Coturnix japonica: one gene and its partners. The protein of the gene in region 3 interacts with the protein of the main gene of each other region in a pairwise test. Links are inferred from orthologs where the notes say so. Each region holds a gene or a part of one and is shown on either strand. Other genes may lie near its edges. The genes, in order: PPIC, FOXM1 and BANP.

Region 1 (4,246 bases), on a different chromosome or scaffold from region 3:
GTTTCAGCTTGAAGTTCTCATCTGGAAACCTTTCTCCATAAATGCTTCTTCCTTCGACATAAAAAAATATATTAACTAAGTAAGTAATAAAAACAAACAACGCACAATCTTGTTAAAAAAAACACCATATACATGGAAAGAATATTTAAAGCTTGTGATGCTCTAGCCTCTGAATTTAACTAGCAAATTCAGTATCTGCTAAAATACATCACTGAGCAGCAGTGTACTTCATCTCAGCAAGCTCAAACTACATCAAAGTGGCTGCTAAAAATAAGGTAACCATGTTTTAAGACACCTTTGGTACTTCTGCAACACTTTCTGCACGGTATTTCACCTTAGCCACGTTTATTAAGGCTAGGGAAGCTGGTGTACTCTGTGTGTATCTGCAGAAACATAAGAATTTTGGTGTTTTAAAATAGTTAATAAGAGAAAACGTTATTCATGGTTAAAACACTGTAACTTTGACAAGAGAATGCTGTTGCTATCCCAACAAACAGTACTAGCAGGCAAACAAACATTGCCTACCTTCAATGCTAAAACTGTGTCTTTGGTATTTTAGCCTTCCCACTGTTTGCTGCAAGGAAAAGGAATGTTTTCCATTCTGTCCCAGCAGGGAAATCACTAACACTGCACGCAGACAGCTCAAATCGTAGCACCTGATGAACACGCGTGTAAAGGAAGAGAAGAAATCAGGCCAGAATGCATGCAATGCAAGAGATGCTGAGCTGAGGACAAGAGAGGTGAGACTGCTCTTCCCCTACCTGCCTTCTATCAACACGCTTTCCTTTCTTTATCACAGATTAGTTTGCTGCTGGGTGACTGGAACTGATCCGCACAAACATGCATTCAATGAGTGCCCCAGGGAAGCAGCGCTGTTGCAAAGCAGAGCAGGGGAATGATGGAGGCTTCCATGGTTTGGAGATGAGTGCTTTTTTTTCTCATGTATTGAAAGAAAGAAGGAAAAAGCTCTTTTGTCCATCTTTTCAGTACACCCTCACAGAAAGGAGAAGCCAAAAGTAAGAAATTATGTTACCTCCTGACCCATCTCCAGCTGTAAAGTCCCCTCCTTGAATCATGAAGTCTTTGATCACACGATGAAATTTACTTCCTTTGTAACCGTACCCTCTCTGAGAAAACGAAATAATGAATGTAACACACAGTTCTGTACGGCGGTATGGAAATACACACGCGGTGTGTGGTCAGCTATAGGAGAACACACCACTTCCTGAGCCAGATGCTGGCAAGGAACAAACAGCAGTGAGATGCAGGTGAGCCTTGGGGATGGGGAATGGCACAATTGCACTGACCGCACTGAGTTGAAGTGTATGGTTCACAACCAAAGTGGCACTTAAATACTCGTTTCCCACTCCAAACCTTAGCGCACAAAAGAACTGCAAACCTACTTCTCCAGTCGCCAGCACGATGAAGTTCTCCACCGTTTTGGGGACAACCTTTCCAAACAACCCGATTGTAATTCTGCCAACATCTTTGTCTCCAATCTTCACGTCAAAGAACACCTGGATGTATTTGTGAAGCAAAGAGATACAAACAAGAACAGCAGTAAGAAGCAACCTCACTATTAATGTTACAATCCTCAGGTGCTGGTTTCCTTCCAGCTTCCAAACCCAGGTTATGCAATGGGGAAAAAGTGGGATGAAAACCCTGCTGCTCCAGCACGGTGTCCACTCCCCACATAACAACCCAGAACAGACTGGAGGAAGAACCAGGCTGCAGTAGAGCTGGCTGCCCAAAGGCTTCTACATGCGTGCTGCTACAAAGACCAAAGAGTTAAGAGGCATTTAACATAGTTCAGAATATCCGAGTTTGTCTATGAGCAGCAGAAATGTTCAAACAATTAGGAGCAGCTGTAAGGAAATGAGGCGTTCGAAGAAGTTACATAAAAGCTATCAGCTTCACCAATGTCAATGCCTCTTTTATGCTTTCCTACCAAACGTTCCTACTGTTTCTTCATCTTCCATGTGGTTTTTGACTGTGGATCTCCTGGCTAACATTACAGCAGCTTCATAAAGAACATAACATTCCTTTTGGTGCACCTCATCCCATAAAGAAAACAACATTCCTTTTGGCGCACCTCATCCATTTCCTTGGCACCAAATAACATACTTGTTAGATGCGCGGCTCCCAAACAAACTGATTTCCTGGCATCTTTATAAATGCACCTCTCTTCATTTTGCAGTCAATTATCTTTAGGTATGGATGAAGAGAAGAAAGAAACAAAGCTGTGCAGGTTTTCTAAACTCCCCATGTTTTATATGGAAATCTCGATCAGGAAGAGCAGCTGGTGGCTGCCAGCGATGCCTGCAGGCTATAGCACTATCAAATGCATGCACAGGGCATGCAGAGAGGCAGAGCTGAAACTGGAGGCTCTGCAAGTGGCAGAGCAGCACATCAAAACCCCTTTTGTACATGCAACGTTAGGAAACGTTTTCCAACACCCAACCTGGCAGAACAGGGGGCTACGATGGAATACTAGACTCCATTAAGAAGGGAAGGAGCTGTCAAGCCTCCAAATTCCAGGCATAGAAGTAATTAATGGCTGTGATAGTGAGCACAGCGGTCACATTGCCTTCCGGGATTGCAAGGAGGAGCCACATCACGGCTGTACACGTCACTGCAAAGCAATGGCAGCCCCAGCAAGGGGAAATATAGCCGGGGGGGCTCCCCGGGCTCGGCATTGCGGTCCAATACAGCGCACACCGACCGACCGACCGACAGACCGACCGCCTCCCACCCGGCCCGGCACGGAGTCACCTTGGCTGTCACACTCGGTCCCCTCCTCCGCAGCCCCTGTGCTGCTGCAGAAAGCAGAACGAGAACGGGGATGGCAATGAGAGCCGTCCGAATAAGGGACATGGCGACACTCGGAGCTGCGGCGCCTGCGTCAGCAAACGGGAGGGGAGGAGCCGGGATGGGTGTGATCATAGCGGGGATGGAGCTGGGGGACACACGGATGCGTTACCTGTTACCCCAGTTCCAATGGTTCAAGTGTTAGAGCAGGCGTTGTGTGGCTTAATTGCAGTGCCATCTTTATCCTCTATAACTGAAAGAACCACAGTTCCAATGGTTCAAGTATTAGAGCAGGCGTTGTGTGGCTGTGTAGCTTTTAATTGCAGTGCCACCTTTATCCTTTATACCGGAAAGAACCACAGTTCCAATGGTTCAAGTGTTAGAGCAGGCGTTGTGTGGCTGTGTAGCTTTTAATTGCAGTGCCACCTTTATCCTTTATACTTGAAAGAACCCCAGTTCCAATTGTTCAAATATTAGAGCAGGCGTTGTGTGGCTTAATTGCAGTGTCACCTTTATCCTTTATACCTGAAAGAACCCCAGTTCACATGGTTCGAGTACTGGAGCAGGCGTTGTGTGGCTTAATTGCAGTGCCACCTTTATCCTCTATAACTGAAAGAACCACAGTTCCAATGGTTCAAGTATTAGAGCAGGCGTTGTGTGGCTGTGTAGCTTTGAATTGCAGTGCCACCTTTATCCTTTATACATGAAAGAACCCCAGTTCCAATCGTTCAAGTATTAGAGCAGGACCTGTGTGGCTCTGTAGCTTTTAATTGCAGTGGGACACACAGATACATTACCTCTGACAGAGGTAACTGGAAGGCCTTGGTTGTCATTCCTGTGCACTAAGAAACCCCAATTCCAATGGTTCAAGTGTTAGAGCAGGCGTTGTGTGGCTTAATTGCAGTGCCACCTTTATCCTTTATACTTGAAAGAACCCCAGTTCCAATGGTTCAAGTATTAGAGCAGGCATTGTGTGGCTGTGTAGCTTTTAATTGCAGTGCCACCTTTATACCTGAAAGAACCCCAGTTCCGATGGTTCAAGTGTTAGAGCAGGCGTTGTGTGGCTTAATTGCAGTGCCACCTTTATCCTTTATCCCTGAAAGAACCCCAATTCCAATGGTTCAAGTATTAGAGCAGGCATTGTGTGGCTGTGTAGCTTTTAATTGCAGTGCCACCTTCATCCTTTATACCTGAAAGAACCCCAGTTCCAATGGTTCAATTATTAGAGCAGGCGTTGTGTGGCTGTGTAGCTTTTAATTGCAGTGGGACACATGGATGCATTACCTGTTTGGGAGAGGGAATGGAAGGCATTGGTTGTCATTCCTGTGCATTAAGAACCCCAGTTCCAATGGTTCAAGTGTTAGAGCAGTCGTTGTGTGGCTTAATTGCAGTGCCACCTTTATCCTTTATACTTGAAAGAACCCCAGTTCCAATGGTT
Region 2 (4,198 bases), on a different chromosome or scaffold from region 3:
ATCTGTAGAAAATAAATAAAAGGAAATGGACTTGAACAATTATTTAGAAACCTCAGATAAAGACTTTGAACAAAACACTAGTACAATAACATGCAGATCTCCATATAGACTGTTACCTACCAGTAGTTTTTATATCTTTTATCAGATTCCAGGCAGATTTAGCATATATATATATATATATATATATATAGTAGAATGAGTAATTAAGTGCTTCAAAGCTTCATGAAGGCACAACCAAACATGTGATGGTAAACAGCCACACTGAGTTGCATAACAAACTTTATAACACAAAGTAGTTGTAGAGCAGGTACGTGTTACTTGGCTGGCTGGGTGCAGGGGGTTAACTCCTTCCTAGCCTGCACACCAAAAGGAGGTAAACATCTCTATTTATCAGGGGAATACATGCATATTCATGGTACGAGGATATTTTTCCATGTAGAAGCAGATTGACACTGGTGAGAAAATACCATGCAAGAAGTACATTTTCTTATTCAATATATAAAGCTACATAATAACCGCTTGCTACATATTATCAAAACAACTGACCAGCCCCCTTAACATGCCAGAAGATTTAGAGACACAACCTTATTATCCACCAACCAGTGAAGTCCAGATGCTCTTGGAGGTCTCTGTGAAGGCAGCTGGAGCCACGCTTTCCTCCCGGTAACACACAGCGATGAAGAGTCAAACCACAGAAGAGTCAAACCTGGCTGTAGGGTTGGAGCCTCACAGTCTCAGCTCGGATAACTCCTCTCGAAGCGGATAACGACCCTTAAATTAAGAGTATTTACAGGTGACCACAGCCCCACCGTGCTCAGCACCCACCCCATATAGTACATACCCATCAGCCCGCCCGGCTCGGCCCCGCCCGCCGCTGCGTTTCACTGGCCCGGAGCTCCACGTGATGGCAAGAAACCGCTGAGCGCCAAATTCAAACAGGGAACCGATGGCGATGGCGGGGGGTGGATCCGAGCCGGGCTGCAGGTGGTGAAGCTGGATCTTCCTTGCGCCTCTTCTGCTCGCCTGGGGAGGGGGTGAGTTGGGACCGAAGCTCGGCGTTCATTCCTTGTTGTACTGCGCTCTCCCGTTGTTTGGGCTTTCCCTGTGAGGAGCTGCGTGGCCCGGTGAGGTCTGAGAGTCCGGGAAGTGAGGGTTGTGGTTTACAGCGGGTGACGTAGGTTTGAGGGGATACTTGCTTCGTTCTTCAGTATCACGAGCTCTTTTGCTTCGTTCTCATCGCTTTATAGAGCTGTGAGCACCTTCCTGCTGCTGAAAACAGCTTTTGGCCTGTTTAGGAAGTTTCTGGCCTTCAGCTGCTGAGCAGCCTCTGGCCCCAGTGCTTCCTGCTCATAGAGAGCTCATCTAATGGGTGTTTGCCACTGTGTGTCTTTCCAGGTGATTCTTACTGTACCTGCATTTGTCCTCCACTCCTTTCTACTTTTCTGTTTCCCACGTCTTATACCAGCACTTAAATCCATTTTTGGTCAGGCTGTGTTCTGTTGCTTACAGCAGATTGCTATGTCTGTATTCTGGTTTCTCATCCCTCCAGCTTACTGGCTGATGCTGGTCAAGTAATTTCCCAGCTAAGTCTTAGCATCCCTCATACAGGTAGACATCCAGACGGGTCTTGAATATCTCCAGAGAAGGAGACTCCAGAACACCCCTGAGAAGGCTATTCCAGCGCTCTGACAGTGAACAAGTCTTTCTTTCTATTAGTATAGAACTTCCTGTTGTTCCAGTTTCTGCCTATTGTCCGTTGTTACATTGTTGCTTGCCACTGAGGCGTCTGCCCCCATCAATTTCACTCCTTCACTTTAGATATTTATAAAGAGTTATGAGATCCCCTTTCAGCCTTCTCTTCTCTAGACTGGAGAGTCCCAGGTCTCTCATCCTTTAGATATACATGCTTTCCTTGTTATTAGATACATAATGACATTCAACTTCTGATGCAAGTATTTACTCTGCGAATCCTGCTTCCACAAGCTGTTGATAAAGAGGTGAACTGTATTTTCCTGTAGCCTAGTCAACCTTATTATAAGCTTTCATTTTTGTTTTTCTTTCTCTGTTTTTTAGCAGCGTGGGGATTGCTGAGAATATAAGTGCTGTGAAAGACCTGTGGTGTGTTTGTTGACCTTTTTTATCTATTCCTACTGTCTGCACTCATATTGTGTTTTTGTTTTGCAGGACTTGTTCCTCTCATTTTCAATGGAGAGTGACTGTACAGATAAATAATGAGGACCAGCCCTTGCAGGCCCTTAATTCTCAAAAGAAGGAAACTGACCCTTCTACAGAAGGAGGCATCCAGTACTTCAGGAAGAGATGAGAACAGCGGTCACGATGAAAATGCACCTAAGCAGGAACATAGCCAGGAGTACCAAAATGACAGCCAATGCAAAGACAAAACAGGCTGTGGCCTGCAGAAATTCCCAGAGGGAATAAAGATAATGAACCATCCTACCATGCCCAACACGCAAGTGGTGGCCATCCCTGCAAATGCGGATATCCAGAGCATCATAGAGGCCCTGACAGCAAAAGGAAAAGAATGTGGCAACAATGGGCCCAATAAGTTCATTCTCATTAGCACTGGGGGAACTTCTCGTTCAACAGGTTTGGTGCTATCACAGCACCTTCCCTCAGTGGAGGAACCTGGCACAGTGGCTAGGACTGCAAACAGTCAAGTAAGGGAGAAGAATACATCACAGATACCTGATCCTGCAGGAGGATCAATGGCCTGGCATTCAGGAACTGATTCTGCGTTTGCACAGAAGCAGGAGAACAGTAAGTAACCCTTACACTTTTCTTGTTCTGAAGGATAAAGATACGCAAATTGGGACGATAAGCGTAGTACTTGAATCTCGGTATGCAGTAGTGGAAGTCGTTAAATTAATTACAAATTAATTTACAAATGTAAATTAATTACAAATAAGTAGCTGTGGATATGTAATGGAATTTGAGGGATCTTGGTGGATATACTTTGAAAGAAACAGTCCTGGCACTTGAAAAAAGGCAAAAAAAGCAAAAATTTGGTACCGGATAAAAAGAAGTGGGGTTAGTTGGAGGGAATTCTGGTCTAGAATAACAAAATATGAGGCAAAGGAATCATGAATGGAGTCACTCCATTATCAGCGCTCCAGTATCAGCATGAAGTACCTTAGTCAGTCAATGACAAAAGGGGCACAGGCCTTTGAAAGAAAAATAATTCCAACTGTTTCCTTCTTGGCTGTCTCTTGAAGCTGATGGGCAAATGTTAGAAATGGGACTGATTTTTACTTTGACTTGCTTCTCAGATCTCATTTGTATTTGGAATTTAAAACTGCTCTGTAGATTTGGGCTGTGGTAAATCTTATCCCACAGGCTAATGCTGTTTAAGAGGAACCCATAGATAGTTCCAGTAGCTGTATTACTGAGAACAACCCCACCATAAACAATACAACATTAGATTAGTTTTCTATTGTTGCTGTTCAGAAACCATGGAGACTTTTTGATTGCTACTTGGGTTGTGTGTAAGTCTTACTGTTGGAGTTTATGCCACCTTCCTTGACTTTTGTTTATTTAATTAATCCTTTAGCTAAAAATGCTTGAATACTCAAAGTACTGGAGTCAACACTGTCCTGTTTTGGCTGAGAACAATCGTTTGGTTTGAATATTGTGATATGTTTGTTTGTTTTAGTTTTTGTTCTGTCTTTAACGTTACAGCTTTTTTTCAGGAATTGGGCAGATACACATTCAATCAGTAATTCAAGGTAAATACACAAGAAGGCTGAACTTTGCAATACCATCTTGTTCCTACCCTGACACAGGGATATCTATGTTAGTACTTTCTTTTTGGCACTTGAGGTGAAGGAAGAGGGTTACTTGTAAATAAGCAGAGTTTTGGGCTTATTTTTCCAACAGGCAGTGGCGACACAGTGAGCTCTGTGCTGGATAATAGTCTCACTAACATCCAGTGGCTGGGGAAGATGAGAACTGAAGGACTAACTCCCTGTTCTGTGAAACAAGGCATGGAGAAGGAGAACCAGATCCCTCTGCAGGAAAGAATGAAGGTAATTAGGAGAGGACAACAGTGTAAGCTAAAACTTTTGATGAGGATGAAATCAGTCTGGATTTGAAGACTTATGAGAGCTAGATATGATGATTTCCAAATAATCTGAGAACTCCCTTTATCAATTTGAATAGCAGTGCATGGAATATCCAACCC
Region 3 (4,146 bases):
GGGGTGCCTCCATCTCTCAGGTTGTTTTATTAGATCCATTGGCTCTTGAGCCTCATTGGAAGCACTAAGGAAAGCAGATGTTTGGTCAGAGAGGCTGCGGTTCTGTGAGTGGGCAATGCCAGGAGTTCACACTTCATTATAAACAGCTGAGCAAAATACTTTTCCTTCTGGTATTTCTAGGATGGTTGAAAATCAAAACTAATAGAAACACGCTTAGTGTTCTTTCAGAAGGAGTAAGGGAACATTTTCTTCTTCTGAGAGCTGCTGGGTACGGTGGAGGATGGGGTTCTATGGTGCTTTGTAGTTGAGGTGGGTTGTACAGCAGGTTCACCATGCAGTGTTATCATCATTGAGATGGGAAGGTTGGGAAGATCAGGCCAGGCCACCAACAGTGCTTGAAGAGCACTTTGCATCTGCATAGAGGGGTATGTAAAGGCAAGTGGAAGCTGCCTCTGAGCTGCTTGTTTGTGGGTGTCCAGAGCACGAATTAATCCCTTCTGTTAGAAGGAAAGTTTATTATTTTTCGGTTTAACCATATTCTGTTACCTGTTTTGGAGCAGCGAGGCAGGATGTTAGAGGAGCCCAGCAGAGCTCATTTCAGAGGTTCATTTTCAGGGCAGACTGTTAATTTTTGTGGTACAACTCCTTTATTTTAAGGTCAAGGGCAGGTAAGAATCACAAAGTCGATGTGTTGGTCTGGGAGCCGAGTGAGCAGCCAAAGAAAAGCCATATCCTCACACCTGCCCCTATTGCTGAGGTCTCTGTTTTACCACTCCTTCACTGCTCTACTTAAAGCCATTGATCCCTTGATATCTGTCATTTTTGCAGCCTCCCTATAAAACCTGTGGTATTGGCAAACACAATGGAATGTGAATACGAATATATTATATATAAACAATATATAAACAATATGAAATGAGGCAGATTGAAGTCATAGGGCTGGGGCTTTTATCTTGGTAAGCTTGCTCTCCCTGATTAGAGGGGGTCTGTTTGGATCCGTTTGGATCTGCTGTATGAACTCTGTCCTTTTACACATCCTAAGACAGGGAAGCTGGTGCTGTTAGCAGCTGTAGGCTTCTTTGTTGTCAAAGCAATTTGTGTGCATGAAAGGGGCTGGTTTGGTTGCTTGAAGTCATCCTGAAGTTTGTGCTTTGGAAGTTAATGAGACAAGATGCATTTTAGAGCTGCGGATAATCAATAGGACAGACTGCCATGTAGTTCTGACAGGGCGTATCATGTCGTTCCAAAGTAAATAGTGCAGGACAAGAGGCTTTTGCTTGCTCCTGTAAAAACAGAACGCAGCATCCTTTTGCAGCTCAGTGCTGACCGTATCTCGGAACACCCAAGATCCCCATAAAACCCTGCCAACACCCCAAAGGTCCTTCCTAGGGGTCACCTCTTGGCCTCCCACACTCCCCAGGGAGGGGTTGTGCTGCCCACTCCTTCACGGCCACCCACCCTCCCATCAGCTGGGAAATCATACTTGGGTAAGGGAAGCTTTTGTTCAGAATGTTATTTTTGCTCTCAGTTCTCTTTCCTCTGTTTGAAAGGCATCTTTTGAGCGCTGTGGTTCAAATACCAGAGGTAGTTAAAAACAAAACAGCGCTCACAGCATATAGAAACCTAAACGGAATTTGTGTATTTTGGCTGCATTTTGAAATGAGATCGGGGGACTTGCTGTTGTTCACATATGTATATTTTATTCTGAGTTGTACTTAAGTAGTAAATTACAGTCGCTCTCGTCACAGGGATGCATTTAAGCAAGCGATTTTGGGTGAAGCATCTGCTCTTTTGTTGCTCTTTGGCTAACAGGGGACCCAGCCTCAACCAGCCAGCATGAAGATGTGTAGAGTCAGTGGCTGCGAGCATTAATTAGCAGTAATTTGTAAATCTACACCTTCGTGTACAATGGGAAGATAAACATTGCTGCAACAAATTGTCATAAGTTGAATGTGTTTGGCTGTGAGAATAAGTATCTTGGCTCCGTCTCTCTATTTATATAACAGTGAACACATTAGCTGGGGGGTGGCTGTGTGCTATTGACATTACAGCAGCGCTGACTGCTCTGTCTGTCCCACTTACCCTTTGCAATAATCATTAGCAGAATTATGAACCCTTCATCAATTATCTTTTGCAGCGCTTAGGGAGGTGTCATTTATCATGAGGGCGGTAACAGCCCACTCCTTAGGAAAGCCACTATCTCTCGTTGGAAGCAGTTGGCCAAAAAAACCTCTTTTGAAATGTTTCCCAGCCACGGGAGCGCAATATTTCCGTGCAAAGAGACAGCAGCAAGCAAGCAAAACTGAACAAGTTCCTTTTTTTCCTCCCAGCAAACCTGGCTTCTACCCTCTGATCTTCAACCTGAAGGTGTGAGGATGCTAGAAGTGAACTCAGTGTCTGCCTTTTGTTACCCCCTCCCTCCACCCTCTCTCTTTCTGCCATCATAAAACCAAGTAGAAGGGGTTTCTAAAGCAGATTCCCCCAGTTCAGTGCTGTGGCTGCAGAGCTCATCCTATGAGGAACCTGAGCTGATGGAGCTGCTGCGCTCATCTGCCGGCTGGCAGAATAAACAGATCAGTTTTCATAGCTGCAAGCTGTGAAACAGACCATCTCATGCTTACAAACTATACAGCATAATCAGTGCTTTGGTTTTTCCCTCTCTTTGGCTTCTTAAGTCTACAAGCCTTGCTTTTGCTTGGGTTGCAGGTAGGGAATTGGATGCACTCAGAGAATATAGACGTGGTAATTGGACTGGTGACTTAGTGTGCTAACTGTTGTTAGAATGAGTTGGAATTAAAATGGACCTATTTAGCACAGGCCACCAGGATGATTTATTCCTTTGCTAGTGCTGATACAGATAGGGGATGACTTACTTTGTGTTTAGGATCATAAGGGAGCCAAACCTTTCCAGGTGTGGTGCCCGTTAACCCTTCCAGGGAATACAGGTCTCATAAGGCAAAATGCAGTGAGAATCTTATGTGAGAATCTTCCATGTGTGTACCACCTCCTTGGGACCCACATTATTTAAACTGCTACTGATGTACATATTTTCTCAAGTTTCTGTTGAATCATGTTTGGTTGTTGCATCTGTTTTCAGGTCGATGTTTCCTAATGCGTTCCTGGCTGTGCCTGTTCACAAGCTGTTTCTCCTTTGCTCTGCTTGCAGGTGTTGCAGGGTGCTCAGCTGATAGCTGTTGCATCTGCCGAGCCTGCATCAGGAGGAGTTGATGGATCCCCACTGCAAGGCAGCGATATCCAAGTCCAGTATGTGCAGCTCACACCTGTGACAGACCACTCTGCAACCAGCCAAGTATGCCTGCATATATGTGTAGAGATATGTGTATATAAATATATATGCCAAATTATTAAGATAATTTTCCTAAAGGTAAATAGTGGTTATTGACTATTCCTTCTTTGGCGTTGTTGCTCATTGCCCCCAGAGAACAGTTATTTTGGTCACCATTGTTTTTCTGCATCCTTGAGGGCTGAGAGCCATTTTTACAGGACGTGGAGGAAAAACTGGCTCGGAAACTATCCAAAAAGTGTTTTTCAGACTGAGGTTTCTCTTTAAAAAGTTATTCTCTTTCTGACAGAAGTTTTCCAGTTATTTTAATCCACAGCCTGGATTTCCCACAGGAGCTGCAATGTATGCAATTGTAAGTGAACACTCGATGGGCTCAGTTAAGGTGGAGGAGGTGTGTTTTCTTTCTTTCCTTGGTCAGTTTGAAGAGTCACGTAGCTGAGGCTGGAACCAGCCCAAAGTCATGCCTGGTGGCAGTGCAGGCATACAAAAGAAGCAGTTGTTCCATGAACCCAACTGGAGTTGGCTCCTTTCCTAAAGAATCCCTAATGCTTGTGAGAGATGTATTGGCTTACCAGCCAGGATATAATGTTATCCTCAGCAACCAATCTTAGAAGGGAATTTTGTCACGTAGATACCCAGTTTTGCAGAGAGTTCTGATCTGGCTGCAAACATTTGGATGTTGGATCTCTTGAGCTGCATAAGAAATGGAGGAAGTCACGTTCCTTCCCTAGGTTTGTCTCTGTGCTTTCAGGCCTCCTCAGTCATCGATTCACAGTCACTTGTAATAGTGTGCTGGACGACAAGAGCGTTGCTGATGGATCATGCCTTGTTTCTTGAAGCTG

The links.
Region 1: the proteins of BANP (region 3) and PPIC interact in binary tests that used the Homo sapiens proteins (3 or more experiments, as listed by UniProt). The two-hybrid records come from large-scale screens. The link is inferred for Coturnix japonica from reciprocal best matches to the Homo sapiens genes BANP and PPIC.
Region 2: the proteins of BANP (region 3) and FOXM1 interact in binary tests that used the Homo sapiens proteins (3 or more experiments, as listed by UniProt). The link is inferred for Coturnix japonica from reciprocal best matches to the Homo sapiens genes BANP and FOXM1.

The regions. Positions count from the first base shown.
Region 1 is NC_029547.1:66,535,589-66,539,834, forward strand, and holds the start of PPIC (peptidyl-prolyl cis-trans isomerase C), read right to left. Parts: upstream 2,913-4,246; 5' UTR 2,875-2,912; coding exon 2,773-2,874; intron 1,518-2,772; coding exon 1,404-1,517; intron 1,128-1,403; coding exon 1,034-1,127; intron 52-1,033; coding exon 1-51. UniProt on the Homo sapiens protein: PPIase that catalyzes the cis-trans isomerization of proline imidic peptide bonds in oligopeptides and may therefore assist protein folding.
Region 2 is NC_029516.1:68,394,886-68,399,083, forward strand, and holds the start of FOXM1 (forkhead box protein M1), read left to right. Parts: upstream 1-920; 5' UTR 921-1,034; intron 1,035-2,184; 5' UTR 2,185-2,231; coding exon 2,232-2,778; intron 2,779-3,894; coding exon 3,895-4,043; intron 4,044-4,198. UniProt on the Homo sapiens protein: Transcription factor regulating the expression of cell cycle genes essential for DNA replication and mitosis. Plays a role in the control of cell proliferation. Also plays a role in DNA break repair, participating in the DNA damage checkpoint response.
Region 3 is NC_029526.1:16,147,424-16,151,569, forward strand, and holds part of BANP (protein BANP), read left to right. Parts: intron 1-3,166; coding exon 3,167-3,310; intron 3,311-4,146. UniProt on the Homo sapiens protein: Controls V(D)J recombination during T-cell development by repressing T-cell receptor (TCR) beta enhancer function. Binds to scaffold/matrix attachment region beta (S/MARbeta), an ATC-rich DNA sequence located upstream of the TCR beta enhancer.